4 linked regions of the Lepisosteus oculatus genome follow. The main gene of each other region encodes a partner of the protein of the gene in region 3 in a complex. Links are inferred from orthologs where the notes say so. Each region holds a gene or a part of one and is shown on either strand. Other genes may lie near its edges.

The links.
Region 1: cnot11 (region 3) and cnot8 share a complex: the UniProt entries of both Homo sapiens proteins name them as parts of the CCR4-NOT complex. The link is inferred for Lepisosteus oculatus from reciprocal best matches to the Homo sapiens genes CNOT11 and CNOT8.
Region 2: cnot11 (region 3) and cnot9 share a complex: the UniProt entries of both Homo sapiens proteins name them as parts of the CCR4-NOT complex. The link is inferred for Lepisosteus oculatus from reciprocal best matches to the Homo sapiens genes CNOT11 and CNOT9.
Region 4: cnot11 (region 3) and cnot10 share a complex: the UniProt entries of both Homo sapiens proteins name them as parts of the CCR4-NOT complex. The link is inferred for Lepisosteus oculatus from reciprocal best matches to the Homo sapiens genes CNOT11 and CNOT10.

Annotation. Positions count from the first base shown.
Region 1 is NC_090706.1:40,669,740-40,677,421, forward strand, and holds the start of cnot8 (CCR4-NOT transcription complex subunit 8), read right to left. Parts: upstream 3,013-7,682; 5' UTR 2,880-3,012; intron 2,750-2,879; exon of another isoform or gene 2,598-2,749; intron 2,055-2,597; 5' UTR 1,976-2,054; coding exon 1,859-1,975; intron 1,128-1,858; coding exon 934-1,127; intron 311-933; coding exon 149-310; intron 1-148. Other genes in the region: protein FAM114A2, read right to left, coding at 6,771-6,872, 7,192-7,245. UniProt on the Homo sapiens protein: Has 3'-5' poly(A) exoribonuclease activity for synthetic poly(A) RNA substrate. Its function seems to be partially redundant with that of CNOT7.
Region 2 is NC_090707.1:21,038,911-21,045,820, forward strand, and holds the start of cnot9 (CCR4-NOT transcription complex subunit 9), read left to right. Parts: upstream 1-3,910; 5' UTR 3,911-4,056; coding exon 4,057-4,074; intron 4,075-6,871; coding exon 6,872-6,910. Other genes in the region: usp37 (ubiquitin carboxyl-terminal hydrolase 37), read right to left, coding at 809-970. UniProt on the Homo sapiens protein: Component of the CCR4-NOT complex which is one of the major cellular mRNA deadenylases and is linked to various cellular processes including bulk mRNA degradation, miRNA-mediated repression, translational repression during translational initiation and general transcription regulation.
Region 3 is NC_090710.1:31,025,731-31,033,287, forward strand, and holds the start of cnot11 (CCR4-NOT transcription complex subunit 11), read right to left. Parts: upstream 3,023-7,557; 5' UTR 2,679-3,022; coding exon 2,360-2,678; intron 1,865-2,359; coding exon 1,700-1,864; intron 1,111-1,699; coding exon 958-1,110; intron 417-957; coding exon 214-416; intron 1-213. Other genes in the region: rpl31 (large ribosomal subunit protein eL31), read left to right, coding at 4,465-4,571, 4,974-5,099, 6,183-6,295. UniProt on the Homo sapiens protein: Component of the CCR4-NOT complex which is one of the major cellular mRNA deadenylases and is linked to various cellular processes including bulk mRNA degradation, miRNA-mediated repression, translational repression during translational initiation and general transcription regulation.
Region 4 is NC_090705.1:42,669,442-42,676,990, forward strand, and holds the start of cnot10 (CCR4-NOT transcription complex subunit 10), read left to right. Parts: upstream 1-4,549; 5' UTR 4,550-4,817; coding exon 4,818-4,836; intron 4,837-5,656; coding exon 5,657-5,754; intron 5,755-6,285; coding exon 6,286-6,447; intron 6,448-6,528; coding exon 6,529-6,679; intron 6,680-7,549. UniProt on the Homo sapiens protein: Component of the CCR4-NOT complex which is one of the major cellular mRNA deadenylases and is linked to various cellular processes including bulk mRNA degradation, miRNA-mediated repression, translational repression during translational initiation and general transcription regulation.

The sequences.
Region 1 (7,682 bases), on a different chromosome or scaffold from region 3:
AAACAGCAAGACAAACCGGAAACGAGGCACCGGCATTGCCAGTGCTGGATCGTGTCAACGCTGCACAACCCGTTATTCCCTATATCTAAAGCTCCTCTATTAACTCCTTGACAGTAATATACTATCACCTTACTCTCAGGTCTCTTACCTGTGAAAGGAGAGCCACTTGACATTTTCACACAGCACTAAGCCAGATGTCATCAGGAGTTCGGCAAAGTAAAGTGTGTCGATTCCCTCTTCCTCGTGCTTCTTAAACTGAAGCCCCGAGTTCTGCAGAAGATCTATAGAATCCTGAGAGTACATGTCCTCCCTGAAACGGCAAACCAAAGTGACTTTCGCCCACACCATCAAAGCACAGACATCAAACATGCCCACGTCAGCGCAGGAGCGTTATTAAAACCCAGGAGCTGTCGTTGGCAACACAGATCTGTTACAAAGCAATTCAAAAGAGCCCGATAGCTTTCTCGAGATGCCTAAGGATCACGTACCGCCTCCATCTGAAAAGAGCATGGAGAACGTACAACCTGAACTGGGAAAGCAGGACGCAGTTGACTAGTGATCTGGTTTTAAAAGATCTTAAATATGAGAAATTCATCAAACTGCAAAGGTTTTTCTATTATTGAAATAAGATGGTAAATTTGTGGATTTTATCTTCACTGCAGTGCAGCATTATACTGTATTTTGTATATGATGTCTCGTATTTTTTCTACCTCTATTATTTCAAGCAGACCAGAGAAAATTCTTAACAGATGGGTTGATCCGGCATAAACTTTTCAGTGTAAACCGATGAGATGTTTTTTCGGGCAGACACGGCGGTGAAGCAGAGGGTTAGACAGGGCTGCGTAATGAAGAGCGCGGAGGAAGACACGGCCCGCGAGGCCCGGATCACGGCGGCGGCGTTGTCGGCGTCGGCCCGCAGGGGTTCTCACGTACGTGAGGTTGAACTTGAAGTTGAACTGCCAGGTGGTGGTCCCGGGCGGGTAGTCCCCGCTCTCGTTCATGAAGGTGAGGCCCAGCTGGATGATCTTCAGCAGGTCCACGTTGCAGCGCAGCAGCTGGTACTGGTAGTCGACGGTGCTCCTGAACTCGCCGATGGGCCGCACCACCACGCCGGGGAACTCCGTGTCCTGGGGAAGCACAGGCAGAGCACAGCTCACCCTCCCCGCACTCCCGCGTGGGGCAGCCTGCTCCCTCAGCAGGACGGAGGAGGACATGCCCTGCAGCCTCAGGGAGGTGAGGACACCACGCGGGCACCTGCTGCCCGGGCCCACCAACTAAACCAACCCAGCGGACAGTTTCAGAGTGGTCAGTGAGACACGAACTTACCCAGAAGTGTATTTAAAACTGAGAACAAGAGGCACTTTTTTTTTTAACCCAGAAGGTTCAGAGAGTCTGGGACAAGCTACCCCACCACCTGCTTGAAGATGATACTTGGGCTTTTCAAGAAAACAGCAGGGTGAGGCCCCGGGATCAATAATAACGCTACCGAACTGGCCAGTTGGGTCGTACGGCCTCCTCAATGAAATGGCGTCCCACAATGAAACAGACTTAGAACACCCATATTTAACAGGTTCTTCAGGGACTGGGGACAGAGTAACCTATAAACAACCAATACAACTGCAACTAACACCAGCTTTCCGTATGAAGACATGCTTGTCCTGCCTGCTAGCACTTTGTAAATGATGCTGTGAAATTTGAATCTTGTGAGAAAGTTGTCTGGGAGGACAGTCAGACATGGCCAGTTACAATCTGTTACCATCACCAAAGACACACCAACTAATATTTCGCTGGAACCGTTGTCCTTTCTGACAATAATTAACAACGCAGGCTTTTCCCTAAACCCAAACCCAGTAGTTACCATGGCGATGTAGTTGTAACTCTGAATAATTTGTCGGATTTTCCTCATTTCCTCTTCCACATTGCTGGCCCAAACTTCGCAGATAATCTGGCTGGTATCTGCAAGCGCGGCAGGCATGTTGCGCGGTCGGGGAAAATGACTGAAAACTCCCGGGAAACCTCTGAACCACCCAGGAAGACGGGCTCTCAGGCAAACCCTGAAACGCAGAAAGACACAGATAAAACTCGGTGTCGTCGTTCCGTTTGAAGACGAAATCAAACGGCTGCCGTCTGACCATGATACTGGTATTCAATTGGACACTGTTATCAGATACCGATTTTAAAAGAAAGTTATGACCACGTGTGGATTGTTAATTCATTCAAGAACTGCAGGCTTCTAGTTGCAAAATATCTAGGTGCTACATTTTATTGTGGAACACTGCATGTCATTTTACATCCCCCGTATGACAAAGAGACTCGTCAGATATTTTTTTAGAAACGAATAAGCCCACAAACATCAGATCTGCTTTTTTGATCCCAGCGGCTTCAGATACAGGATTTAATAGGACGCAGAAGTACCCGACTCCAGCAGAACTTTTGACATTAAGAACACACGGGTCTACTGATAAGTGACTTGCAGGAAGGAAGGGTGTTTGTAAAGCGATTTAATGTCCTTCTGAACGCAAGAAGATGATGCCATTATGAAAAACAAGCCGCAGAAACAGTCAACGCGCGTTAACCCCCCCGGAAACCAAAACAACCTCGGCTTTCGAGAAAAGCAACCGCAAGGGACTTGATTTTCATCTGGAGTGACGCGTCAACGCTATCACCCATCTGTTTGACGTGGAAATGCTATGTTTAATGCGGACAGAAGCAAGAACGCGTTCTGTTTTTATTCTGCGACGGCTCTCGCGTTACTTCAGGGCCGCGTAACCCCAACCTCAACCTCAACCCCAGCCGGTAGCCATCACGGCTCCGTCCGCTTCCCACAAGAGGCGAAAGGCCCGGCGCTCCTGATCATCTCAGGCGCTTCCGTGAAGTACCTGGTCAGCTCTACTTCGGTAATTCCCTCAGTTTATACTGAAGCTGCCGCTTGATCCTGGTCCCCTTGTCGAAAGCGAGCACGGCGCAGTAGTAGCTCCGCGCAGGCGCAGTAGTAGCTCCGCGCAGGCGCACTGACAGCCCCTCTCACCCCTGACCCGGTTACGATAGTGCGGCGCAGTCACGTGGGAGGGCGGCCTACCCGCTGCTGCAGCGAGAGAAGCGTCTGTATAGGATCCCGGGACCGAGATGTGTACTGATGGAAAAAAGAAACGCAATATTGTCTGCAATGAGAATACTGTAGTTATAGCTTATGTACTTTCACAAAAAGATGTCAATTTGATTCAAGCCCTCTGATCAGCAGTACAGCTTGTGCAGTGAGGCATTGCAACTTGCCAATCACACAAAAGTTTGTTAGGTGCACTTTTACCCAAGGGGATCCAGGTGGAACAATGCCTGATCAGGTCACCTTTAAAAGAGCCTTAATTAAAAGCTTAGGTCACTGCAAGAAAAGGCCACACTTAGTCAGTTTTCTGTGCATTCCGTAATGCCTCGAATGTCACCAGAAGCAAGGGAGAGGGCCATGGGCATGCAGCAGGCAGGCCTGTCCTGTGGCAGCGTTGCCAGACACTATGGGGTAAGCCACTCCACTGTGTCCCGACTGCGGAAGGTTCAGCAGACCAGCAGGACAGATGACTGTCCAAGATCCGGTCGCCCTTGGGTGACCACACCCGAGCAGGACCGACACATCAGACTGGTCCATCTGAGAGATTGTTTCAGATCTGCCACCCGTACTGCTGCTGAAGCTGCCAGCAGACACAATGCCTGCATCAGTGACAGGACAGTGAGGCTCCAGGCTGCTGGCCTTAGAGGAAGATGAGCTGTCAGAGGCCCTCTGCTCACAGACTGTACGTCACCCCGACTGGCTTGGGCCAGACAGAGGCTGCGATGGACTCGTCAGCAGTGGCATCAGGTCCTCCTCACGGATGAGTCACTCTTCAGCCCGTTCCACGCAGTGTGGAGGAGGAGGTGTTGCGTTTCTTTTTTCCATCAGTAAATATTAGGAATTAGTTCGAGGGAGCTGTGTCAGCAGGTGTAGGCTACAAAGGAATGAGTACAGGTTTATTCCAGCTGAAAAGAGAAGAAAAGAAACAACGTTTCGGCTGTGGAGCCTTCTCAACAGCTGAAACACTGACACCTGAAGAAGGAAACAAACTCTCGGGCCTTGACACCCAAGAAGGCTCCACTGCCGAAACGTTGTGTTTCTTCTTTTCAGCAAGGAACAAACCTTTACTTGTTCCTATATTAGGAAATGTTTTGATCCATGAGAGCCCCAGTCCAACATGTTTTGGAGGTAAACATGAAGTCGACAAGATGCTTTGACCTCAGCAAAACAGGTGGTTTGTTAAATTTAGCATTAAGAACAAAACTGAATACTTTTCATTCTCTGGATGGAGAGAAACTCTGATTACAATGAGGGTTCTAATCCTGGAGTCCTTCTTGTTTGACAAAAGGAAGGAAAGGTTTTCTTCTGTATATTGCTAGAGCACTGGTTCCCAGCCAAGACTGTGCTTTTCATTCCGGCTGAACTCTGAATGTCCAGTGCTAATAGATGTCATAACTGATCTGCTCACTTGTTTAGATCTTTATGTTGTTCTTCAGTCAGTCCTGCTATATCAGAAATACCCCACTTCAGGGGCCCTCTGTCAGACACAGATCTTTATAACATCTGAAGTAAATGTAATTGGACACACCCACAGTGGGAATGACCCTGTAATTAGATACACCACAGTGGGAGTGACCCTGTGATCAGACACACCCACAGAGGGAGTGACCCTGTGATCAGACACACCCACAGAGGGAGTGACTCTTAATTGGACACATGGACAGTGGGGGGGGTGAGTTGACCCTGGAATTGGACACACCCACAGAGGGAGTGACCCTGTGATCAGACACACCCACAGAGGGAGTGGCCCTGTGATCAGACACACCCACAGACACGCACATACTCACACCAGGACCAGTTTTCCCAGAATCCAATTAACCCACCACTATGTACCTGGACTGTGGGAGGAAACCAGCATAGTACTATACAAAGGCAGCTCAAACAGCTCAAACAGGATATCTTTTATTGCTTACCAATACAACATGCTCACTGATAACAGCTCAGCCTCATTACAACGCTCTTGTTGAGGGAGGGGCTGTCAAAGTCTAATAGCAGGGTGCTTGGAATATCCCTTCCATTTTATCAATTAAATAGGATTTCATTTTTATCTAACTGGTAACATTTTTACACACTTTTTACCAATTGTCTAATAAAACAATCCTTACTGCTACAATACTGTAATACAGAGCCCTGACAAATTCATGTTAATGTATATAAACATAAATACCGTTACGTAAAAAACGATACTTTTAATATTTTAGTATTTTTTGGTTAGTTGATGGTTAAGTGCAAATGCACAGTACAGTGTATAAGAGGAGAACACTGCATAATTCTAAGAGAAGGAAGAGACAGAATAGTTAAAACCAGCTGTGATATTGTGAACATTAAATACTACGTGCTTTTCATACTGTAGCTTTACTCTAAAAATACACTTCATGTAAGAGAATTGAATTCAATACAATAAAAAAATACAACAGGACTCGTTGGCCTTAACATGTAGCTAGTTCAATACAAGTACAAACACATAACATAAATATATACAGAAGGAGCTACCAGGTTTGGCAATTTACTGTAGCCTTACACAGTGTCTCTCAGTGTCCATCAAGCAGCTCAGGAGTAGCTTTGCTACATTTTTAAAATGCATGTTTCTTGTGGTTTCAGTAAAAATATCTGAATTGCACTGCAGTCATGTTCCCTGTCTGTACCAGCTCATACTTTCCTGTGTGACAAATTTGCCAGCAGCCCCCTCTCTCCTGCTGCAACTGTTTCAATGGGCACTGCAGTCCATACTCACATCTGGATCGTGGGCGCTATACAGAGAACTGAGTCTTAATTTTAATCATGTTTAAATCCCACCAGGAGTCAAGGGGCAATGGTGGTGTATGTAGGATAACTGTACAACGAGGCGCATCATAGCAAAGCTGTACAACTGACTAATGTACACTTCAACGCTTCACAATCTTCACAAAGGACAGTGTTTTGTTACTAAAAAAAAAATGAAAGCACACTCCCAGATGAAACTTTCAAAAATATCACTTAACATTCGATCCTCAGCACTTTTTTTTAGAGAAGTGCTGAAATTATTAATATAGGAGTTAAATTTTTGAAAATAACTAAATGATTTTTAGTTTTCAAATTCACAGGTTTCCTTGGCACACTGCACATGGAACAAACTCTTTTCCTATTTACACTAAGGCTAACGAAATCAAATCTCTTACATTTTAAACAGATTATGCTGTAAAATAGTTGAATTTCAGCAATACTTTAAGTGAGAGGTGCTGATAAAAAGGACCTGCAAAAGAACTGACTAGCAACATTACTGCATTTAACAGCAACCGAATTCTACCTACTTCTAACTCCACAAAAACAAAAATTAGTTTGAATTATGTAAAGGTAAAACCTACACTTTTACCACACTGCATTTCAGATTGTGTCCTCAAGGTGTACTACAACCTACTGTAGTTAAGTAGCTCAGACTCTCTGGCACCACACACACATTACACTCAAGTAATTAATCAGGTGTGCTGCAGTAAATCATTCTGGGTACCTATGATCTGATATTGTGGTTCTGTTCATTCTCACAGGTGTCAGGCATACAGAACAGGTTTCCATCTCGCCAGGTTTATTGACTGTCGGTTTATCTTGAGCAGGATAGCAGAAACGATGGCCGGGTCAGACACACCGCGGCCCACCTCCGGCTTTGGCACAGGTGAGCTCCAAGCGCTGCTCACAGCTGTGCGGAGTTTGTACAGGTCTGGATGTGGGCGATCTCTAATACTGGCAGCAACAGCTGGAAGGCATCCTGGACATAAGACGCACTGTTGGAAGCCTGGGGGAAAATCAGTCACAGACACACTAAATAAACTACACGATCATCGTGGAGCAAAGAGAAAATATTGAAGTTTGTTTTTTTTCTGTACTCGTGATTGTACACTCTTAATTCTTTGTCCAGACAGCAAATGCATTCTTGGTTTTTTTCCTAATTTATTGCAAGATATTTTCGAACTGACAAATCTTTAAAGTTACAATGCCTTTGTAAATTGGGGTCAACGCAACAGCAGTAGCTCGGCTTCTGGTCATATTTTCAATCCAACTGGTAAATATTAAGAATTAAAAAAGACATACTGAAAGATACCAAAATTACCTACCTCTAGAAAGACTCCTGTGATCAATGGATTGAGTACATCACCCTTTTCATTCGACTGGAAAAAAAATAAAACTTGTATATTACTATGGCTGAAATTACAATTTCAGAAATTTTAATTTCTGAGTGTCAAATATCAATGAGTCTCAATATGATCATTATAAAATAAGTATGGGCCTTCTGCTACTTCAAATGCAACAAAGTAAACAGCACGGAATATTAATCCTAATAAAGAAAGAAAGTTGATATGTGCTGATATTTAATTATATAGCATGTTTTATGATACAGTGCTACGTGTCACCCCTTAATCAGACAGTATGTGTAACTCCAGGAATTATATACATCCCACCATCTGGGTATCAAATACAAACTGCATTAAATATACGACCTGTGACCATTATGATACACTGCTAGAATTAAAAAATTGTGATCCGTAGATGTTTTCCCTCTGCACAGAATCTTCCACCACTATTGACAAGAGATAATCTTGCCAGC
Region 2 (6,910 bases), on a different chromosome or scaffold from region 3:
GACGACAACTGGAGATCTCCAACCCAAACTGGCATCTTCGGGATACAAAGTATAGAAAACTGACATTCAATGTTGTCTGATGTAATGAAAGTTAAAAATTAAATAAAAATTAAGACTTGTGCATGCTCATTAGCATTCTGTTTGGTATAAAAAAGGGGAAGCTCACACTGAGAGAACAGTATACATCCAAACCAGCAAACGAATGGTTAACAGAACACAAAGTAAATGTTCTTGACTGGCAATCTATATTACCAGTCACCAAACCAATCTAACATTTGTGGTTTGAACTATAGAAGGCAGTTCACAAAAAAAAAACAATCATCTTAAGGACCCGGAATACTTCTGCCTGGAGAAGTGCTCAGAAATCTTCTATAAGAAGCACCAGAACTATACAGCACACTGCAGGAGGTGCCAGTGTAATCTATGCCAGAGGAGGATTAAAAAAATACTCACTACGGGAATGTGAATAAAAGTGATCCTTGTACTTTCGGAACTTGATTATGACAAATATGACTTTGCTTTGTGCAATGCTAATAAGATTAAAGTATGTATTACAGCTTTCCATTAAATGATGTATTTTGTTCCTATTTCAACAAGCGTTTGGATAAATCTGGAAGATCCTGTACAACCATATATATGTACCGTTTAGTAAGTGCACCATATGCTAACATGCCTTAAAGAACAGGCAAAACAGCACAATTTAGGAAAATAGTACAAATTTACCATCTGTTTTCTTCAACCTCATTCCTAACAGAGGTAGGGTGAAACACATGAAGCTCTTTCGATCTGAAAGACAAGTAAACTGTACCTGAAATATTTTGGGGACTCCTCCACTGTTGAACCTCACAAAGAGGTTGACTTTGTTGTCCTTCTCGTGGATCTCAAAGCTTCCTTCCTTCCACTTGGTGGTACCCAGTTGCAGGCTGTTGATCCGGACGCTGCCTAACAGTTTTGGCACAGTGGCTGCCATGGCTTGAAGCACAACAGACACTGGGTCACTGGATCTTCAAGTGACACCTGGGCCAATGGACAGCCCTATGTAAAACCTGAACATTTAACAGAAGGTTTCCAGTTAGACAGCTCATTTAAGGTTACTTGTAATACTTTTGAGGATAGAAACTTTTCTTGTGCTTATTCATACTAGTACTATATTTTTTATACTCTTAAATTCATTATGGACCTATACATCATTTTTCATGGGAAGCACAAACATTACATAATTGCCTAAAAACAGCTGGTTCACAACATCCTTGTCCGTGTTCAGTATTAAAACACCAATAGCTAAACATTTCTTGGGGTTATAATCAAAATGACAGGTGGTGTATACAAAGAATGAAGCAACACACCAGACTAGTGACAAATCAAAATAATAACGTTCTGGGGTGAATCTAATTGCCATGGGAGAAGGACTTCACCAATGTGACATCCAAAGATGCAGCTGCAGCCCATGAAAGTTCTACAGATAAATTCCCAGCCTTTTTTGCTTTCGTTTTGATCAATGATGGCTTAAAATATTTTCAAAACCCCTGCTCTATAACTATTATCAGAACATGTGCTGATGTCTAAACACTTCATGTCTTGGGAGGCAGGAGAGCATGACACATCCCACCAAAATTGCAAGCACTGCGGATAGACGTAGTAATTACAAACATGCAGGAACATTAATTTTGGCAAACTGTGGAACATTATTTAACAGATACGGAGCACCTTTCAGGGGAGGCGGATTCAAAGCCGTGCATTGAAACACTTTTGACTTAACACGGGGAAGCCGAAGTCCACTGATCGTTGTGTGAGACGCGCTTACAGTATTTTCACACTCATTCAGAACCATCGCTTTTAAACGATACAGCATGGAATCTAAGCACCAGACCATTGCGACTAGCAAAACCAAATCTAACGCACAAAAGAATGCAATGAGTAAAATATGCTAAGCGTATCTTACTACACCAGATCTTTAAACGATTGAGGATACCATAGATGGGGCCCGTGCTATTGCAGAAATCAAACAGCTTTCACATACAGTCACCAAACTACTGTCCTCTGCTGTTAAGTGTCTGAGAAAATCACGGGGAGCTGCCCACAACAGACTGCAAAGACACACGTGCACAGAGGCCAATAGCGAAGTACAATTTATTCCACAATACAGGTCAGGAATCACAAATACTGAATTAAAACAGATGCGCCCGCAAATCGTGCTGCTTCGCCGTATTTCGAACTGCGAAGATTTCCAAGTGTTACTTTTTTGCGTGTGTCCGAGAAATGGCACTTTTCTTGAAGTTCGTGAAGGGAAATCACAGGGACAAGACTGAGAGCAAACAGCCCGAAATTCAACGGCGACGAAAAAAATAGACACGAGAGTGAAAAGCTGGTTTCAAAGAGGCGATGCATTTTAACAAGAACACACAAACAGCCCTGGACGTGCACGACAGTCCCCATCTTCTCAGACCCATACATCGCCACTTTCTCCGGCAACATTTATTTAGAACGGAACTACCCCCAGGTTTCGGGAGATTCCGTTTTCTGGAACGTCGTCGTGGGCAGGGATAACGAAAACCGGCAATCACATTAAAGGCCGGGATAATGACAGCCACTGTCAGTAATTTGAATAACAAGAAGAGGAGGAACGCAGGACTCCGGCAATTACAACGAATAATGTCTTACGTGCAAAAGAAAGCGTTCGGTTTCCACGCTTTCCTATATTTTGCGTATACTCCCCTCTCGTCTCCTACGGGCTGGTAGCCGTGTGGCCGGCCTCCGGTAGCAACTATGTTGTTATCGTTGACAGTCGGTCCAAAACGCAGCCCCACCGGTGTGTATGATGGCGGGAACGTGAAAATCAACAACGGAAACCCGGCGCGAGAACATGCGCTGTGGTATCGCGCGACAGAGTGGCATGGCGAGAAGCTGCGCAGTGCCTTGGTTTTCTTCCTGTACTGTAGTTTACAGGGGTCAAGGGGTTGGTTACTTTTAAACCTATAAATATTCTTACCTGCTTTAAGTATAAAATGTGGAAACCTTTTTTTTCTCCTTTAATGGAGCATAGACTTGAGCGCACATAGATAATTTTGGAACTCCCATAATCCCTTAATATTGTGGTGTAATTCAAGAGAAAAACTAAACGTTTTCAAAAGTTTTCTTGCTTCTGGCTGGGGAATTCTCTTTAAAGAAGTATGTCTCAATGAGGACCCCTAATATTTTAAAAAGCACTGTGGGACAATAAATACATTACAATAAACTAGTTTACTTTGGAGTCTAGACAGTGGGTCCGGGGCTGAAAGATTGCTATTTGTAAAAGACTGCTAACATACTTTCATTTTTTTTCTTATTTTTAATACAAAAAAATTAACAGTGTAGAGCGGGTGAAAACACACGTAATTTTTAGTGTAGGAATAAAGCCTACTGAAATACATAACTTAATATGCTCTATAGGTTTGATTAAAAACTTAAGCTTTTGAAGGAGTGGAAGCCATTCAGCTCCTCTACATTGTTTGGTAGTTAATAGCAAATCGATCCAAGAATCTCATCAAACCATTTGTCAAAAGAAGCTCTTATAATTAAATAATCTTACGGCATGTAAGACATGTCTAGATTTTTTTATATCAGGAAAAAATAATTAAATAAAATATTGGCCAGCCCTTGTGAAATATATGTCAGGGACTTGTGCAATACATTTATATTTCTATTCAGTTATGTAACCCAAATATTGGCAACGCAAAGTTGAGAGGTCACGCAGAATCAAATTATATCTCTTTAATTTGTTTTCGATTTTATTTAATATTTTGTTAAAATCCTAAAACTATACGAATGTAGCATTTGTATAGATCGGTGTAAAACAATAACTGCAACCTTATCAATTATTGTAGTTTGTTTTTTTTTTTTCGGAAATGTGCGCGCGAGGTGAAAGGTCAGAGGTTACAATTCCGGCGCTTGCTGGATTTTTCTCTCTGTTTTTGGAAACAGAGCATATATTAATATTAAAAGAAAGTAAAGAAATCCAACGGAATTAAAATAGGGACTCCGCAACATTCAGGCGATCATATCCAGGCGCTTCAGAGAATGTTGGCTACAGGGGCGGTAAGATTTTATTTAAAAGTACTTTATTCCTGAAGATGCTCTAGGCCTCGGTGAAATTTAAAATTTTGACGCAAGTGTAGGGACTCCTTAAAGACTCGATTGGCTGTTAAGTGATTTCACGATCCGATAAAGTTTGTTAAATATTTATTTGTACTGTTTATTTTAGAGAGTGGGTTTAAAATATTCTCTTTCTAATGCAAAAAAGGGTATTCAGTACAGGGGTTAAAAACTACGGAAGCATCATACACAGGAGGCAGTTCAGGTCTGTGAGAAAAACAACGGCATGGTGGAATTTCATACTGGTGGACGATGTAGTTACAAAACTTGTAGGTTGTTTTCTAGATGCAGTTTAAGTGCGAGTAAACCGACACCTTGTATTTTATATATATACACCAGATAATTCAACTTAATGCCAGTGGACTACAAAGACTGATTAAAAACTGATGAAGTGAAGTTTTAGCAGCAGGTCAACTTGAAATGTTGTATTGTATTGAGAAGGGACTGGTTGGTGGAACTAGTGTTTAGTATGGATGTTGTCATTTTATGTTTTTTGCTCTGCATTTTTAGAATCCCGACACTACATTAAGGGTGTAAACAAATACCTTTTTAAATTGTTTTCCTAGTGCTTTTTCATAATTCTGTTGATAATCAGACATTGAGAGCTTGATAAGGGTTACCATATTTGAACATTTAAAAAAGGGGTACACTCCTTCGAGAGGGCTATTTGTACCATTATCTATTAGACCTTTATTAGTTGTATTACGGTTGTATATTCTGTGTACTACGTTTCGTCTATAAGTCTATATTGATCTGCAAAATTATAAAAACCGTTATGGCCTCAGAGATACTTTATTCAAATTTTACTGTATCTCTTTATATGTAGTCCTTTTCCTTCACCAGTCCTTAAGTAGTCTTCCTCCTGATGTGCCCAAGCAAATGTCTATGTAGAAAGCAGGTTTCTCAGCAGGAGAGAAGACGTTGTGGAAGTCTTTGCTAGAGGTTTGGCTGAAATTGTATGGAACAAGTAATATCCTTTTCAAGTTGTTTTACCTTGTCCACTGGCTTTACATGTGTGGAAAACCTCACTTTACATTCCTATCTTGAGTAGGAACAGCAAAGAAGAAGTATGCGGCTTTAATAGCACTGAGTTCCACTTGGTGTTTTTTTTTTACTTTTCAAAGTATTTGATCCACATCTGGTGTGATTAAATTCTTCATTATTATCTCAACCTCCTATCAATTTCTTTAGATTATTGACCTAATCAAAATACTTCACAGCATCAGTTACTGCCTCCTTATCAATCAGATCTTTGACGCAAGGTTCCACATCAGCCCAATTCAGTGTTTCACTCAGGACAATTTGTTTAAAACAAGAGAAGTCTTCAAGGGACCTCTTCTACGTCTTGAAATATTCTGAGGATTTACTATACAGATTATCTGTTTTATCACATAATGTGTCACACTCTTCAACAGATCCTTCCATGTGCATTTTCTGCCAGTAGTCCCTTACTTGGGAATATTAGAATCAAGCTTGTTATCACTTCCAAGACAGAGCTGTTTTCCCTTTCAGTTTCTTGGATATATGTTTGGAATAAACTCATGAATGCTCAGAGGTAACACTCACTTAATTCATACTCAGAATGTCTTGATCAGAGTAGGTGGTTTGTCCTATAACAAAAATGAGGAGTTAAAAGCTGGAAACTGTATCAGTCTTGTAATGTCTGGAAAAAATGACAGTTATGTCGTGCCATGAGAAAATAGCTTAGGACATTCAAAATCTATAAACCCTGGATTTGCTGGATTACCTGATTTGCTGTCTGGTTATAAAACATAATCTGCCATTTTTGATGATGAGCTCTCCTCTCCAACTGCTTTCTCATGCTTGTGTGAGTCCACACAAACTTGTAAATCATTTGCACCTTTGTCTACCACAGAAGTACCAGGTCTACATACCAAGCACTCAGCTTCTCATTCTTCTATCCTGCTTGGAAAACATAGCAATATTGTCTTTACTTCTGAAGTGAATGAGTATTTTTGGTTTGGCATTGTGTTTAGGGATAGCAAAGTAAAAAAATCAAATAAAGCTCTCTTGAGCAAAAGCTACTGTGCGCAGTCCAGAATCAGATAAGATACTGAAATTAGTGCTGTGGCTGAGCCAGTGTGGAGGTTTTGGGAAAAATCCTCTCTCTTTGGAATGAAAATTGAATGGGGCAGAAAACTAGACACTCCAACTATAACCAATACATAGTCTTGCTCACGAATAATCAGCACTCCATTTCACATTCAAAACCTTTGGAGACAAAGATATTAAGAGGAAGATATTAAGATTTGAAAATTCCTCCCAGACAGAGATCTAAGGCCTACAGAGGAGGACATGTCTGGGGGAAAAAACAATATGGTAACCCTAAACATGTTTCAATTACAAAACCAAACACAAGTCAGAGTAGTACAGGACTATGTTAGCTGTAATTAAAATCTAACTGTATCTACTATATCTGTCTTAGCTTACATAGATATAGATGATACAGTTAGATGTAGCTGTTCTATAGCAGGTTAATATAATTTGTTATCACAGTGCTGTCATCTTACTGTTTTAACTTTTTATGGTGAGATTATTTTTCATGTATTGTTGTTGCACTGTGTTGGAAAGGAGATACCATTTGAAAGCTTTACAAATGGCAGTCTACAGTACCTAAAGTGTTTTAAATGGTTTTCATTATTACAGTAGCAAAAATCCAAATATCAAAATCCGTTTGTAGGCTCCATTCTCTCAGACCGTCTGCATTCTTTCCTTGCAGGCTGTAACCACAGCGCTGGCGCAAGTGGATAGGGAGAAG
Region 3 (7,557 bases):
TGCACGCAGATTGTTATAACGGGTTAGAAACAAAGCACACCCACCTCTGCAAAGCCTGAGACACTGATCCTTACCGTCAAATCACTCAACAGTACCCTTGCAGTTACGGTAAGTTTAAGTGCAGGTCGGGTGAATTAAGTTCACATTCAGCTCATTCTCGACAGGACGGGCAGACCACAGCTGTCTCTGCTCGGGCCCGGAGCGCGGGCGTACCTGCGACTGCTGCTGTGACGACAGGGGGCTCTTGAAGGCCTTGGACATGATGCGTTTGATCTCCACTCCCGTGCTGTTCTTCACGCACATGGAGCGGTCCCACTGCACGCCGTGATCGGGCTCCGAGGGGTTCAGCCAGGCCAGCTCGTCCTCGCACACGTGGAGAGGGGGGGGAGGCCGGATGAACTCGGGGCGAAAGTGGCCTGAACACATGAAGATGAAGGCAATGGGATGAGGCAGGAGTAATGATCCGAAAGAACTGGATTTCTACTCGAGCACAGCCAAGCAACATGAACACTAGGGCTCCATGTGTGTCTTACTGATCTAACCTTAAGAAGTAGTTTGAGTAAAGTTATACTTTATATACTTAAGATAAGTATACAATTTCTTGCATTTGGAATCCGTCTTTTCACATACCCCAACTTGCTCTCCATGAGACACACAGACAGGGAGAGAAGCTGGGGGTCAGAGCGCAGGGTCAGCCATTGTATGGCACCCCTGGAGCAGCTGGGGTGAAGGACCTTGCACAGGGGCCCAACAGAGTAGGATTCCTCTGCCGGCTGCAGGATTTGAACCGGCAACCTTCCAGCCACATGCACAGATCCTGAGCCACAGAGCCACCGCAACGCCCATACTTGCAATTTGCCAATATCTAAACCTAGTGTACATGCTTTTTATGTACAGATCTCCATTTTGTGTTCTTCAATCCTTTTATAGTGTGATAAAGGAAGGAGTGAGACTTACTTTCCAGTGGTGGGCGTGGCCCGCTGACCAGGGCCTCTGTGATCTGATTGGCCACTGAGCTGTCAAATCCAGAATTAGAGGAATCCGGATCAGGATCGTTAAGAATGCTGGGAAAACTCGCCTTACTTTGCGTGGGGAGTTCAGACTGTCGCTCTGAGGGAAAGAAAAGAAACTCAAAACTCCTTCCACTTTCTAACAGATTTTATCCACTACAGGGTCAGGAGGGGCAAAGTCAAAAGTATTATAGTAAAAGAAGCTGTGCTAACACAATTTTTACCACCAGGTAATAAAGTAGTTTAGACTGGTTGGTACATACCTACAGGAAACATCTGAATCTCCTTAAATCAATAAGCTACTAGCAGCAGAGTGGATCTGATACATGAGACACTCTTCTTAAAAGTGCAACCCAACTTTTGACCTTACAATCTTAACCAAAACGAATTTCATTCAAGGTGAGCATACTTCCATATGAATCCCTTATAAACTCCGTCCTTCATTTTTACCACGTGTGTGGCAGACTGGGCACAACACAGAGTCATATCCAGCTGGTGCTTCTGAAAGTGAGCTGGCAGGTTCACTTGACAGACTGGCACACTTAACAGTATAACACAGACAATAACTACTTTCACCCCTCACTCTAGAGCTAATATGCCAACACTAGAGGTGCCCAGTGACTCAATAGGGCCACTACTGAGTGTCAGAACATTATTACATCCATAGGTAACTCCTACAGTCCACATACCTGCCAGAGCCAGCTGCAGGCCGCTAATATCCACTGACTGGGGCATGTTCCCTACGTCCATGCAGGACACCTGCCGGGGCGTCTTTTTGAAAAGCTCTTTCGGGGGCGCCAGCATGAGCTGGGAGAGGAAGAATTTCTCCGGCAACGTTATAGGAGGGAGGAATCCTGTGAAGGAAAGAGAGGATCAGCAGCGGCCGGCGGTCGTGAAACTAGTTTTGCCTCTTTCCCGCTGGGTGGCCGGGGTGAGAGCGGTCGCAAAAACCCTCGCCAGCAATGAGCGCTTTTCTGATCGCGGCAGAAACAAAATTAAGGGGGAGAGACAACAATACTTGTGTCGATATATCTGGCCAATGCGCGTCCGCGAAACACAAAATGGTCAAACACGTTTAACGTAACGTGTCTTTCTGACACACATAATCCATCCCCGCTAACTCGTAGCTCCGTTCAAGCTACCCGGGACCCGGGACTGTGCCGGATGAAAAGGTAACAGGCGTCCGTCCCCCCATCCCCCCATCCCCTCAGACTCCAGCCGGTCCTCATAAACTCGCATTCGGGTGTTTTGTCCTCGAACCGCTGCCGGTCTGCCCGAGGGGGACGGCGGAAGCAGCCCGTCACCGGAGCGCGGCTCAGCGAGGGCCAGGCTGCCCGGGGAGAGCTCACCCGAGAGCGGCTTCTCCTGCTCGTCTCCCACCGGCGGCGGGTTCAGCAGGTGAGCGAAGACGGCGGCGAAGGGGTTGGCCGCCAGCGGCTCGGTGCGGTACATCTCCCAGAGCAGGTAGAGGGCGGTCAGGCGCTGCGGGGAGCTGGGCAGCAGGTCCGGCTGCTGCAGCAGCATCACCAGCACCGAGCCCACTCGGAAGTGGTCGGCTTTGCCGAAGTAGTGGTGGAATGCGGACGAGAGGCCCTCGAAGGAGTTGGTACAGGCTTCCTCGGAGATGATCCCCAGGAGATTGGAGAGCTCCTTCGGGGCAAGTGTCATTGTGCTCCAGGGGAGGTGTTGTTTTTCGTAAAAGAAACACCACACAAAGTCAAGCCGAATCAGTCGCCCCCGAGTGTTTTCAGCAACGCGGGCTGGTCATATTACCAGCCCACACGGTCTTGCTGCTTGAAACGATGTACAGCCGCCCTCTTCCAAGCTCTTCCCATGAAAAGAAACATACAGACACGACCAGGCGACGGTTTTATTACATGAATATCTAACAAAAACCTCAAAGTCTACCATTCATTAACATAAGAACTCCACGACTAGAAACAAAACACCCCAATCGTTTTGAAGGTTTCTAAATACGGCACTGTCGTCAGGTTGTTTTTTACGACAGGAGGCGCTGCGGAGACTTCTGGGAAATGTAGTCGGATGTGTCCATTCGATTTCCTTACCTGTGTATCATACAAATAAACATACACACAGAGATTAAACGACAGGAAATTTAAAGCAACGAGTTGTGTATTTTAATGTTGATCAAAGAAGTAATGTATACATAAATGTAGGTCCCACATCTTCATTATGTCTTAAATTCCATCTCCATATATTTATATCAATATATTTTAATTATTTTCTAAACCACAAATATATCCTCAGAACCTATTTGTACAAGTATTTTCTAGGTAGCCTTGACTCTTCTATCCTGTTACAGTAAAAACACATTACAGTCAAATCAGACTCGGAGTTGCCGAATAAGGTGTAAATATCGCTCACAGACGGGCTTTTGGACTTGCATCAACGAAACTATTTCCTAACTACAATATAGTTACAACTTTTATTACCACCTCATTGTGAGGCTCTGTATCGTTCCTCTAATTTTGAGCTGGCAAAGCAGTACGGACCTCATTTTTATTTACTGTGTTTAAACTTTTTTCATAATGTGTATTTGTATTGTAATATGTACCCCTGACGATGTTATTGATATGTTATATGTTCTTTTGTTTGTATTGTATTGTATTTGTTATTATTGTTGTTGTCTAAAAACAATTGAGCTGTCAGCCGAGTCTGTCTTTGCCCCGGAAGTGATTGTTCTTCCGCAGGTTTAGTACTACCCAGAATCCTCAACTCCTTCCTTTCCGACATTTTCCTTGGAAGAGTGAGTACATTGAGAATTCAACCGCCTGTAAAATCCGACTTCATCCTGCCTTTCCTGACGCCTAATTTTTCGTTTTAACCACAGATATGCGTAGAATTGTACATAAATAATAAAAGTATGACAGTATTTCGAAGTGATGTGCATAAATGTACGAGAAACGCCCGCTATGTTAAAAGCTGACTTGCCGCTACAGATCTGGAGTTAACTCATACCCGGCTCTGTGCATACGGCTGAAAACCCTGACAGACTGTACTTGTGCCCTGGCTGTTCAGTATTCAGTCATTTTAAGTCTAAAGCAAGCGAAGTTGTGCTGGTCTTTAAGAGTTTGTGTGTAATGGGGCCAGAAAACCGATCGGCACACGTTTAAGTTGCCTACATTTGCTTTTGCATGTGATATTAAATGCGTTTTGTGAAACACGACGGATTCCTGGCACGGGTGCTGTGAGTGTGGTTGTTACCGAGGTGTATAGGACCAACACGGCCTAGACTGTGATCAGATGGCTGCAGCTTTAGAGCGGTCTGGAGGTGCCGTGGAAACAGCCCGCTGTCCGTCAGGAAGTGCTGTATTAAAATTTCATACATTTATTAAAAACCTTCTTGCCGGGACTTGATTAGAAAGGCTGCGGTTTTGCTTCACGCAAGGGAAAGGCGGTTCTCCCCCGTGTTCTGACACCCCTGTCTGTTCAGATGGCTCCCATTAAGAAAGGAGGCGAGAAGAAGAAGGGCCGCTCCGCCATCAACGAGGTGGTGACCAGGGAATACACCATCAACATCCACAAGCGCATCCATGGAGTGTGAGTCCTCGGGGTCGGGGGGGTCTGAATAGGCTTGAGGTGCTGTGTTTGTGCTAGGGGGGTTGTGGAGCCAGAGCAGTTGCAGATATCTTGCTGCTCGTCTTAAAGGGCTGATTATTGTTGTGTTGTTCATTTGAATGTCGTAAACTTGTTTCAAGTGGCATAGAGGCCCCTGCACTCTTTCACACCCCCGCTTTCCTGCCCTGACCCTTCGGCTTCTCGGACTCCCCCCCCACCTCCATCATGTCGTGTCCACGGGCCGTGTTGTGACTGGCGGTGGCCGTTTCCCCTGAGCCAGCGCTTCGGTCTGTGCGGCTGTGCTCCGTTCGCCACGGAGCGAAAAAAAAAACGTGTCTCTGGCGGACCTCCAGCGAGACCGGGTCTCCCTCTTCTGTTCCCCAGCGGCTTCAAGAGGCGAGCCCCCCGCGCGCTGAAGGAGATCCGCAAGTTCGCCGTCAAGGAGATGGGGACCCCCGACGTGCGCATCGACACGCGCCTGAACAAGGCGGTGTGGACCAAAGGCGTGAGGTACGCGTCCCCCAGCAAGCCTCCAGCAGGGAGAGCGGTGGCTCTGTGGCTCAGGATCTGTGCCTGTGGCTGGAAGGTTGCCGGTTCAAATCCCTCGGCCGGCAGAGGAATCCTACTCCCTCGGGCCCCTGAGCAAGGCCCTTAACCCCAGCTGCTCCAGGGGCACCGTATCAATGGCTGACCCTGTGCTCTGACCCCAAGCATCTCTCTCCCTGTCTGTGTGTCTCATGGAGAGCAAGCTGGGGTATGAGAAAAGACGAATTCCTAATGCAAGAAATTGTACGGGGCTAATAAAGAAACATTACATTAACATTACATTAGGGCCAGGAGCGGTTTTGTTACTTTATAATGAACCCTTAGCAGGCGAGGGCTCATCCTTGTTTTGTGAACAAGAACAGAAAACCTTTTTGCAAACGAGGCAAGTCCCGGTTTGGCTAGGCGACAGCGTCTGAGGTGACATTTTCATATTCCAGCGGTGAAACAGAAAATCCAGGAACAGACCGTTTGATCCCTCTAGCCCAGTTGGCAGTATTTACTTGCACTAGGAGTCTTATCCCGCCTTTTCACCTTTAGCACCATGGTTTGGTGGCTTGTTAACTACCCCTGCAGCTCTTTGGGTAAAGAGTTGTCTCCTGTTATAACTGTACTTCCCCCTCGTTTCCACTTGGGACCCCTGGTTTGTATTTTACTGTTTACTAATGTGATCATTTTGTCTTTGATGATTAGATGTGCTTTTTTATCTAGTCTTCTTGTATTGTTCTTTGGTAGTTCACTTTTTTCACTGTGCAGAATAATTTTTATTGCTGGCAACATGTCAAGAAACGTAAATTGCAACTGCTGATGATTACCCATACTTGGAAGTAAGAAGACGAAACTTGTGTCCTAAAGAATAAAAGTAATGCAGGAACCATTTCTCCTTGGGCTACTTTGATAAGCTGTTGCATTCATATGGCTTCAGTTACCGTGGTCCTTAGTAACCGTAGAACAAGTGTGCAGCACTTTCTCTGAGCCATGACACTGTTTTCTGAGAGGTTTGCTTGACTCACTTACGCCTGGCTCTTTTCTGGGGTGGTGGGCTTGAAGGAACGTGCCCTATCGAATCCGCGTGCGTCTGTCCAGGAAGCGCAACGAGGACGAGGACTCTCCCAACAAACTGTACACGCTGGTCACATACGTTCCTGTCACCACGTACAAAGGTAAGCCACAGGTCGGAAGCAGACGTGAATTAAGAGGGCGCAGTGTGTCCCATCCCTCGGTTTGCAGTTTCAACTTGAGACAGTTTGGCTGAAAAGACTGATTACTGGGAGACAGATCTCATCCGTGAATCTCATGGTACTCTGTCCTTTCGAAGGGTGACCCACCTAGGCCTCTACGACACTTAATTTTTTGCAGAATGTTTGTCATGAAAACAGTTTCTCAAAGTGAGGTGCTAATCATCTTGCACTTCAAAATTGATTTGGCATTTTTTGCCTTAGAAATCATGGTCGTCGTGGATGACTGTTTCTATAGCTTTTTCCAGGAGAGTTAACCAATGTGTAGGTAGGTCATTCGAATGGTGACTGAACTACATCTTGGTACACTATCCTATTGTATTTTTGCAAGACATCAAAATATTGTTTGAAATTAATACTTTTGTTCTTAAAAATTCATATACTTTTGTGTCATTGCTAAAGCAAGGCGAAGAATATTATTTCCTAGAGTCAGGGTGGACAGAATACCCGTGCAATCTGCATGAGCAGAAACGTGTATCCTGTTTGCTTCTAGTGGAACTGTAGTGCAGTGCTTGTTCATTATGTTCCCTTGTGGAGGATTATGGTGGTTGAAAAAGGAGAGAATGTTGTCATGCAAAAAGCATTGCAAAGAGGTTGAGTGTTCTTAGAGGGGGAAAAAAGGCAGCTTGTATCAAATAAAAGTGATTGAGAAAAGATCTAAGTTGGTACCCCAAGTGTCCTTTGAGCTGCCTTGCTGCAGATGTTGTCCAGTCACCTTATGCAGTGCGTGTGACAGCCAGGCATGGCTCTGGCGGAGAATGTGGCACTGGAACGCGGGGCGGTCTGTTGAAGTCCACCTCAGCCAGGCGGGCCAAATCCCCTACCTGTCAGCGGCTGCACAGTGAAGAGGCGGGTCGGGCTGGACCCCCAGCTCTGCATTTCAGAACGTTTTCTGGATTGCAGCTTGAAGTAGAGGGATGGGCTGCGGTCTAGTGTCGAGTCCAGTCGGCATCGGACACCCACACCGGAGGAGTGCGTGTGGGAGACCGCTGGGCTCTTGTGACCCGCGTGGCCCATGTGCTTCTGTGGTGGCCCTTACCTGTCTTGGTGCGCTGATACAGTTTTGTTAACTGTTGGGGTTTGTTTTTAATACAAAGCACTGAACTAGTGCTAAAAGACAGTAGAGCCGGCGTCTTCAAGTAGGAGCTGGAGTCTTCAGGTAACCTTCACGTGCTGAAGGTGTCCGA
Region 4 (7,549 bases), on a different chromosome or scaffold from region 3:
CTGGACGGGGATTGGCCGAGCAGTCGTCCCAGCGGACGGTAGCTCATGGGAGGGCTGCAGGCTGGCCGTGGCGTCAGTGGCAGATGTGCCTGTCCTCCAGTCAGTGCTGCACCTCCTGTCTGCTGGTGGGCCTGTCAGGGGAACGTGTCTGTGAGTCGCGGTGTCTCCCGAGAGACAGCTCTCAGAAAACAACAACTGGGGATTCCAAATAATAAAATAATAATAATAATAAAAAATAATCAGTGGTTCCAATTTTTCATTTAAAAAGATTCTTGCAAAAGTGTGACATTTATCATACTGTATGGAGTGAGCAAATTGCTGCTCGTCACTAGAATCTTTATACAGACTTTTCGAAAGGAAAACCGAACTGGCACAGCCTCTATTTTCAAGAGTTCTGTGAACATGCCATTAAAGCTACAGTACATTAGAATAAGTCATACTTTAACAGCTAATATAAAGTAACCTGGCTGATTGATGTAGCTTTTAACTATGGCAGCTCAAACCATAAAATATAAGTAATAAGGATAATCACAGTCTTCAACAAATTTTAAGCAGGGATTAAATAATTCAGTGCAAAAATTACAAGCAATGATTAAATAGGTTTTGGATTTTTACTGACAAATGGAACGATTGTCACGATTAAGGACGCTCCGGCTCTTTCTTGTTTCTCTTGATTTTTTTGCACCTGCCCCCTGTTCCAGCCCCTCCCTACAAAAGCCAGACGCTCCCACCATTCAAGGTTCAGCTCTGGGAGAGGCAAGCCCCTTGACGGGTCCGGGGCTTGGAGCGCTTGGCCCCGTTACCCCTTTACCCCTTTTTATTCCCCCGACCCTTCGCCGGATCCCGCTCCGGCTTTTAACTCCTGTCATGGATGGATGGATTACCCGGCTCTGGACTTTTGCTCACCCTGGATTTGGACTCGTTTGCCTTGGCCACGCCCCCCCCAGCACCAGTGCACCGCCGACACGCCCCCCTGTTCTTCTCCCAGCCCCGATCCCAGTCGTCTTTCCCGTGTTTGTTTCACTCCCTTCCGGATTCCGCCGTCTGCACGGGGTCCTGAAAAACGCTCCGTGACGGCGATTTCTACTCACAAAGTTAATGGATAAACAACCTATGCAGTATGCACCCCTCCCTTAAGAGGAAAATGGGGAAAAAATGAAATGTGTTAATTGCTCAGCTAAATTCAGTTCTCTGGCATTTTGTTCTGCTGTTTGCAACGCAACTTACAGAAGAAAAATCTGCTTTTCCACTTCTTGCACGGAAAATCCGACACTTACACAAAGCTGTAAACCTTTAAAAAGTCTGGAGATGGAATCCATCAGTAATAAGAAACAGAATCGCATTTTATGTGTTAATTGAATCCCTTGTTATCATCCACACAACACAAACATGCCAGAATGATGTTTTCTTGTATTTGTGCTGACGTTGTTAAAGACAAGTGGTTTGCTTTGCTAATAGAGCAACACTGAATACATTTAAGAAATCCGGGTATGGTACAGGTTTACCTTTGAATTTAGTAGCTCTGAACATTATAATGGTTACAAACGAGGGGAGTTCATTCAGCCCAATTAGATCATCTGGTGTTTAGGGTTCCTACTGTACTTTACAGAATGCATCACATCATTGCTCCTGAAAAATAACCAATGTTGCAAAATACTATTAATACATAAAATATTATGATTTTTATTTTGAGAAATTGAGTAATTGTTCTGTATCTTCCCAAATAACGTTATCTAGTAATACATTTTTTAAATCCGTAATAACTGTAACTTTGTGTTACTTAAAATGCATTCTCCTGAGAACATAACTATACCTGAACATGAAATAACAAACTTACCTTTAAGAATAACTATTATGTAAGGATATCACTTTTTCACACCTCCTGATGTCACTGTATTTTGCCAAAAAGGAAATGGTCTATCAAGTTAATATATACTGGGAAGCATTAAAAATGGAAGCAAAAGCATCTGTTGTATTTTTAATACCCATCAATTTAAAATCCCTAGACCACATCACACTTGAGTGTAGTCTGGAAGCCAGGCATCTGAATATCTATGTTATCTATGCTACCAAAAGCTATGAAGCAGCTGGAAAATGAAAAATACAGCCCATAAGACTAAAACAAAATCAAACAGCATAAAAAATCTGAAACACCAGCTATTAAATACTATTACATCTCTTCTAATATGTAAGTATTTTAAAAGTTAGTTCAGAAATAAATACTTTAAATTGTACAGTTTACATTTTTTATTCCCACACATACACATCTCATCTTCTGGTTAACAAAAATTACATAACAATCCTTGATTCTGGCCTGTTTCATCTTGTGCTGCCTCTCATCTTCCACTATCTACTGTTCAGTGATTGACATTTTCCCCCTGAAACTTGTCTTCTGCCTCCTGAAAGCACTGGAAATGTATTGCGTAGGAAATTCAGAATTTGCGTCAAAGCTTTCCCATCTGTGTAATGACACCCTGTTATTGATTGTGTGGTGCAGATCTGCTTCACAATGTCTGCAGCTGCACTGCTGCTTGGAGTGATTTAGATTTTACAGAGCTGGGATGTTCAGACTCTGCCATTTCTCCATTAGACAGGAGGCGATCAGATGTGTGAAGTATAATAAAGATAATATGTGACGCTGTCATAAAATTTAAGATGCTCTGCAGTACCACAGAGAGGTTTTTGCATTAAATCATAAAACAAAAGATTAAGGCCCTACTTAATGCTTTGTTTTTTATGGCCATAGCTTTTCAAGTTAATTTTTCATGCTTTTGTCCCAATTTGAATGACAAGTTTAGAAAAACTCACTATTACAGTAAACTGGGAGGGAATTACTGATTGAGGCCTACTTTTTCCTTCATGGTCCTTGCCAATAGAATTGACATCAGTTACTTAATTGAACTAATTGAGACCTTTTCACCTGCTCACTGCTCCTAAGTTTGCTGCCCTAATTTCCACATTTCTGTACATTTTTAGTTAATATTAATTGAAATATTTGAGTTAATTCTAACATCCCTTGCAGTTACAGAAAACACTCAAAACTGTTTAATTATTACATTATTTCTTAATTCTGAAATTTGATTTTATAATAAAGAGATGAGCTGGATAAAAGCCAGTGGACACGGGGGGTTCTAAGACCTGGTCTGAAGAATTCCTTTTAAAATCCACTTTGCCAGTTTGGGGAGATGAGAGGGGCTGATTGAGCCAATGGTCAAATACTGACATCCAATGGATAAAATAAAGTAATGCATTCTTATAACTGAATTATCTCTTCAGGAACTGCAACTCACGAGGAGCAGATCAATTCTTTGTTTTTGCTGCAAATGCTAAAATGCCCTCATCTTCTCCAGAAGGTACACCAAGTCTGACTAGGGTTTGATTTATCACACAACACCAAGCTTCATTGTGTTGCGATTTAACAATGTCCAGTGAGATCTTTAAATTAATATACAGTATAATATGTGCTTTTGTATACTACTTTATACAGTATGTATGTATACTACTTTATCTATACTCTGTATAGATACTTTTCATCTCATTAGTTCACATACGTTTAGGAGGAAAGTCAAGCTTTCATCAAGAGCTGGCACACTGCAGTAGCACTTCTGAGAAGAGCCCCCAGCTGCGATTTATTCAGACTCTGGATGAAAAACATGAGCCCTTTTTTAAGTCATTGCTGGTAGAATTCAGGGATTGATTATACAGGGACATTCGTATTGATACAACGTCTGGTATAGATGACTGAAATGAAGAGGCCGCTAACTGGGAGGTGCTGTTAGGCATGCACATTACTAGAAGAGGTACTACTCTGTTTTAGGGCTCCACGGTTTGTATTTGCATTGTTATTTTCAAAGACATTGATTTTTCTGTTTTTTTTAAATACATCATTAACATATTTTGTTGCCGATTTCAACAGCTCATTTTACGATGTTACAAAGGAAAAGCATACATTTACATTTTGAAACAGCTGTAATTGTCTGCATTTGTGGAACTAATTAAGAGACTCTGTTGATTAATCAGAGCACTATTTAGCTTGAGTGGCTGAGCCACATACAAATTGATTGTGTGACTAGTGTGGACTGAAGAAAAGTGTTCAGTTACTGCAGAGTGTCTAAGCACTATGTTAGGCTCTACAGTCCATTGAATAATCTGTGCATGTCATTTTGGAGTGCACACATACCAGTTTAACATTTTACGGTTTCTACTGGGGAAAAATAAACTGCACGGGCAGTTGGGTTATCTGATGACAGGAAAAAATGTACTGTGAAAAAATAAGAGTTTGGAGTGCTATTTTGTCTGCTGCATTGGCTGTTACAGGATGCATTTAACAAACACAATAATACATTCACATCCCCTTCAAAGACGTGCAAACCGAGGGGGAGTCAAGATCACAGTGTTTTCGTTATTCGATGCTTAATTGGCCTTTTAATTGGCTTTAAACCATTAGAAAGACTTTTCAGCGGCCTCCACGGCGACAGGCGTCGCTGTTGCGCTCCGCTGACAGACGAACCTGATGACGTAAATCTCTTGCGTCTGAGTGCGGGGGCGCTTGTGGGTAATTTTCATGGCGGACATCTGAGAGCGATTTGTGATTTGAAATTCCCTGACCGTAAAATCGCATCTCATTCCTCTTGAAGAAATTTTCTAAATGTATTTTGTGATTTAAAGGAAAGTGACATTTACAGTTTGCAAATTGGAACGCGTTTTGACTTGAAGACTTATAAGCGCTCTGAAGCTTTGAGACGGTTACATTCTCAGAACGTAATAAGAATCCGTAATAGACAGCTGTCTGCACACTGGGTAAATAAACCGAGGAAATGGCAGATAACACAACAGGTATATATATTACGACTTTGTATTAAAAGCAGCTTTTTGCTCTATCGATAATAAAATATTTAAATAACTTATGTTTAAAAGAACAGCTATTCTCTAGATGGGTAGATGTATAGTGACTTATGTGGAGTCAGTAATGAAGTGAAGCATATTTCTGTTAGTTTATGTTATGTATATCAATGTCTGTGGTCTTTTATTCAGGATATTCAGGATATACTCTGTGTGTACAGTTAACCCGCTTTTTATACTGGTTAACTTTTTATACCCGGGAAGCATCTCCGTTGGCACAGCTATGCTTTCAATTTCCTCAGATTTTAAAATGTCGCGTACAGCTGTGGAGATGACGGTGACGTTTGTGTCTTTCTCTCGTATCTGACTGCTCTGCGGTGGTCCCGCGCCGTCTAAAGTTTTTTTTTAAGAGTTTAGATTAATCCTATAATTATGTGAATTAAGTTTGCACTTATGCGAAGAGCTATTTAAGGGATATCTTAAACGACAACGAACAGATGTGCTGGTTCCTAAACTTAATCTTAAGCAAAGGGATAGGTACCGGCTCCTAGGCGACCTGTCTTGGAGAAAGCAGTTAGAAAATGTATGAAGGTCATGAACAGAAGTTTGTTCTTTGTACTGTGTTGCTGCTGTGGTGTTTGGTGAGAGAGAGCCCAGATGAAGTGCTGAAAACATTGAGAACATGATGGCCGTGTAGATTTGCTGGGAGGGGGGTTCCAGAACCATGGATAAAATTAAAGCTTATTTTTATTTAGCGGTGCATAATATTTTAAGTTAATCATAATTAACCCTTTTTGTCTTTTTTTTTGTATAGAGCAAGGCAATGAGGCAAAACACGAGAACAATTCAGCTTCTTCTGGGATCACAGATCGGGAAAAAGAACTCGCCGCCAGTGCTTTTCAAGCATTTTCGGTAATGTGTGGTATTTGACAGAACTGTGTAATTCGTAAAAGAAGGGCTTAGGAAAAACTATTAGAAACAAATCTTACATATTGCAGTGACTTTGATAAACGTTCAGTGCTCTTGCTCTCTTGATATATGTTTTAGATGTAACAGCATAATTTCACAGATTGTTACATGGATTTAGTTTTACATGCTGTATTGTGAAATTTTCCATAATTTGAAAACATAAACTGATGCTGAAGATATTAAGTGCATTGTGACTGAGCTGTAGGCACGGCCACCCCTGAGTGTGTTGTTTAAATGAGTTTGCAGTCATGTTTAATATGTTAACCTCCACTTGCTCCATGTTTAAACTATTTTCTGTGCTATACTGATACTGAGATGGCTTCATTATTGGCTGCCTTTTAGGTGTGAACATGTTCAGAGAGTTGTGTCACCTTTTCTGTAGATAAAATTAAAAGGTTTACAACGTTTTTTTATTTTTATCCGGCGCTGTTATTTGATTTCTGCTTGACGGTCAATTTTTGCTTTTTCTTTTAGTCTGGAAGTTATGATGAATGCGTGAAACACCTTGAGCACCTTCAAGAATGGAACAAGGATGACTACAAAATTGCCATGAACAAGGCCATTGCTGAATTTTACAAAAGTGGCCAAACTACTACTGACACTTTAAAGCAGGCACTTGCCACAATGAAAAATCAGGTAACCTGCTGAAAGGAAACCTCTCTTCAACAGACTTTCCTTTGCACCTAAATTAAATTAAAGCACCTTTGTTTGACCTAGGTTCATGCTGCAGTAGAAGAAATGGACGGTTTGGATGATGTGGAAAACAGCATTCTTTACTACAATCAAGCCATTGTCCTATACCACATGCGTCAGTACTCGGAAGCTATTGCAGTAGGAGAGAAACTTTATCAGTTTTTGGAACCGTTTGGTATGTGTCTCGGTCTTTTTCTAAATATGTGTATTTGTATGATATGAATATAACCTAGATTCAGAGGATGCAAATGGTTTTCATTTCACTTATAGTATTCTTCAGGTCTAATAGGAAAAGAGTACATAGAATGTTTGTTTATTTTTATAAGAGTAAAAAAGAAACTTCTCACTGTTTTAATGCATGCATAGTTTTGGAAAATACATTTTAGGTATAGATTATATATTCAAAATTAAGATTAATTTGAATGGGCTCATGTGATGAGTTAATTTAACCTCAGGATTGTCAAACCTAAAAGAAAAATATGGAAAGGAACCAATATACCTGCTAGCCTGTTAAGTTTCCAGTAGAAGTCAAGCTCAAGTTTATTTTCATATCTACCCGTGTACAATGAAATGCTTACTTGTGTGTTTTCCTCGCATGACAAATGGAATAACAGATGACATCACAATTCTTGGAGACGGGAACAGGAACAATAATTTTAACCAGCTTTTAGATAGGAGCTGTATGCAAAATTCAGCAATGGCAGTATTTTACTACTACTACTGGTGGCAGTCTCCCACTGACAAATATTAATCATCCTATGTCAATTGTATCAATAACTGTCAGTGCGTCTGCTTCAAAGTATATCTGGAATTGTCTTTTGCCGAATATTGACTGTAAACTGTTTGCAGTTGTAAGTGATAAATATTCTGTTGATTCTAGGTATATGCATAATTCTAATATAACCTATTAAACACATGTATAATATGGATAGAAATGGAGTGCATGTAGTTAAACTGTTGTCTTTGTAGACAGTACATGTTTAAGTTGATAAATATGTGTGCTGCTACAGGACTGCAACATTGTGATAGGTATCTTGACAATAAA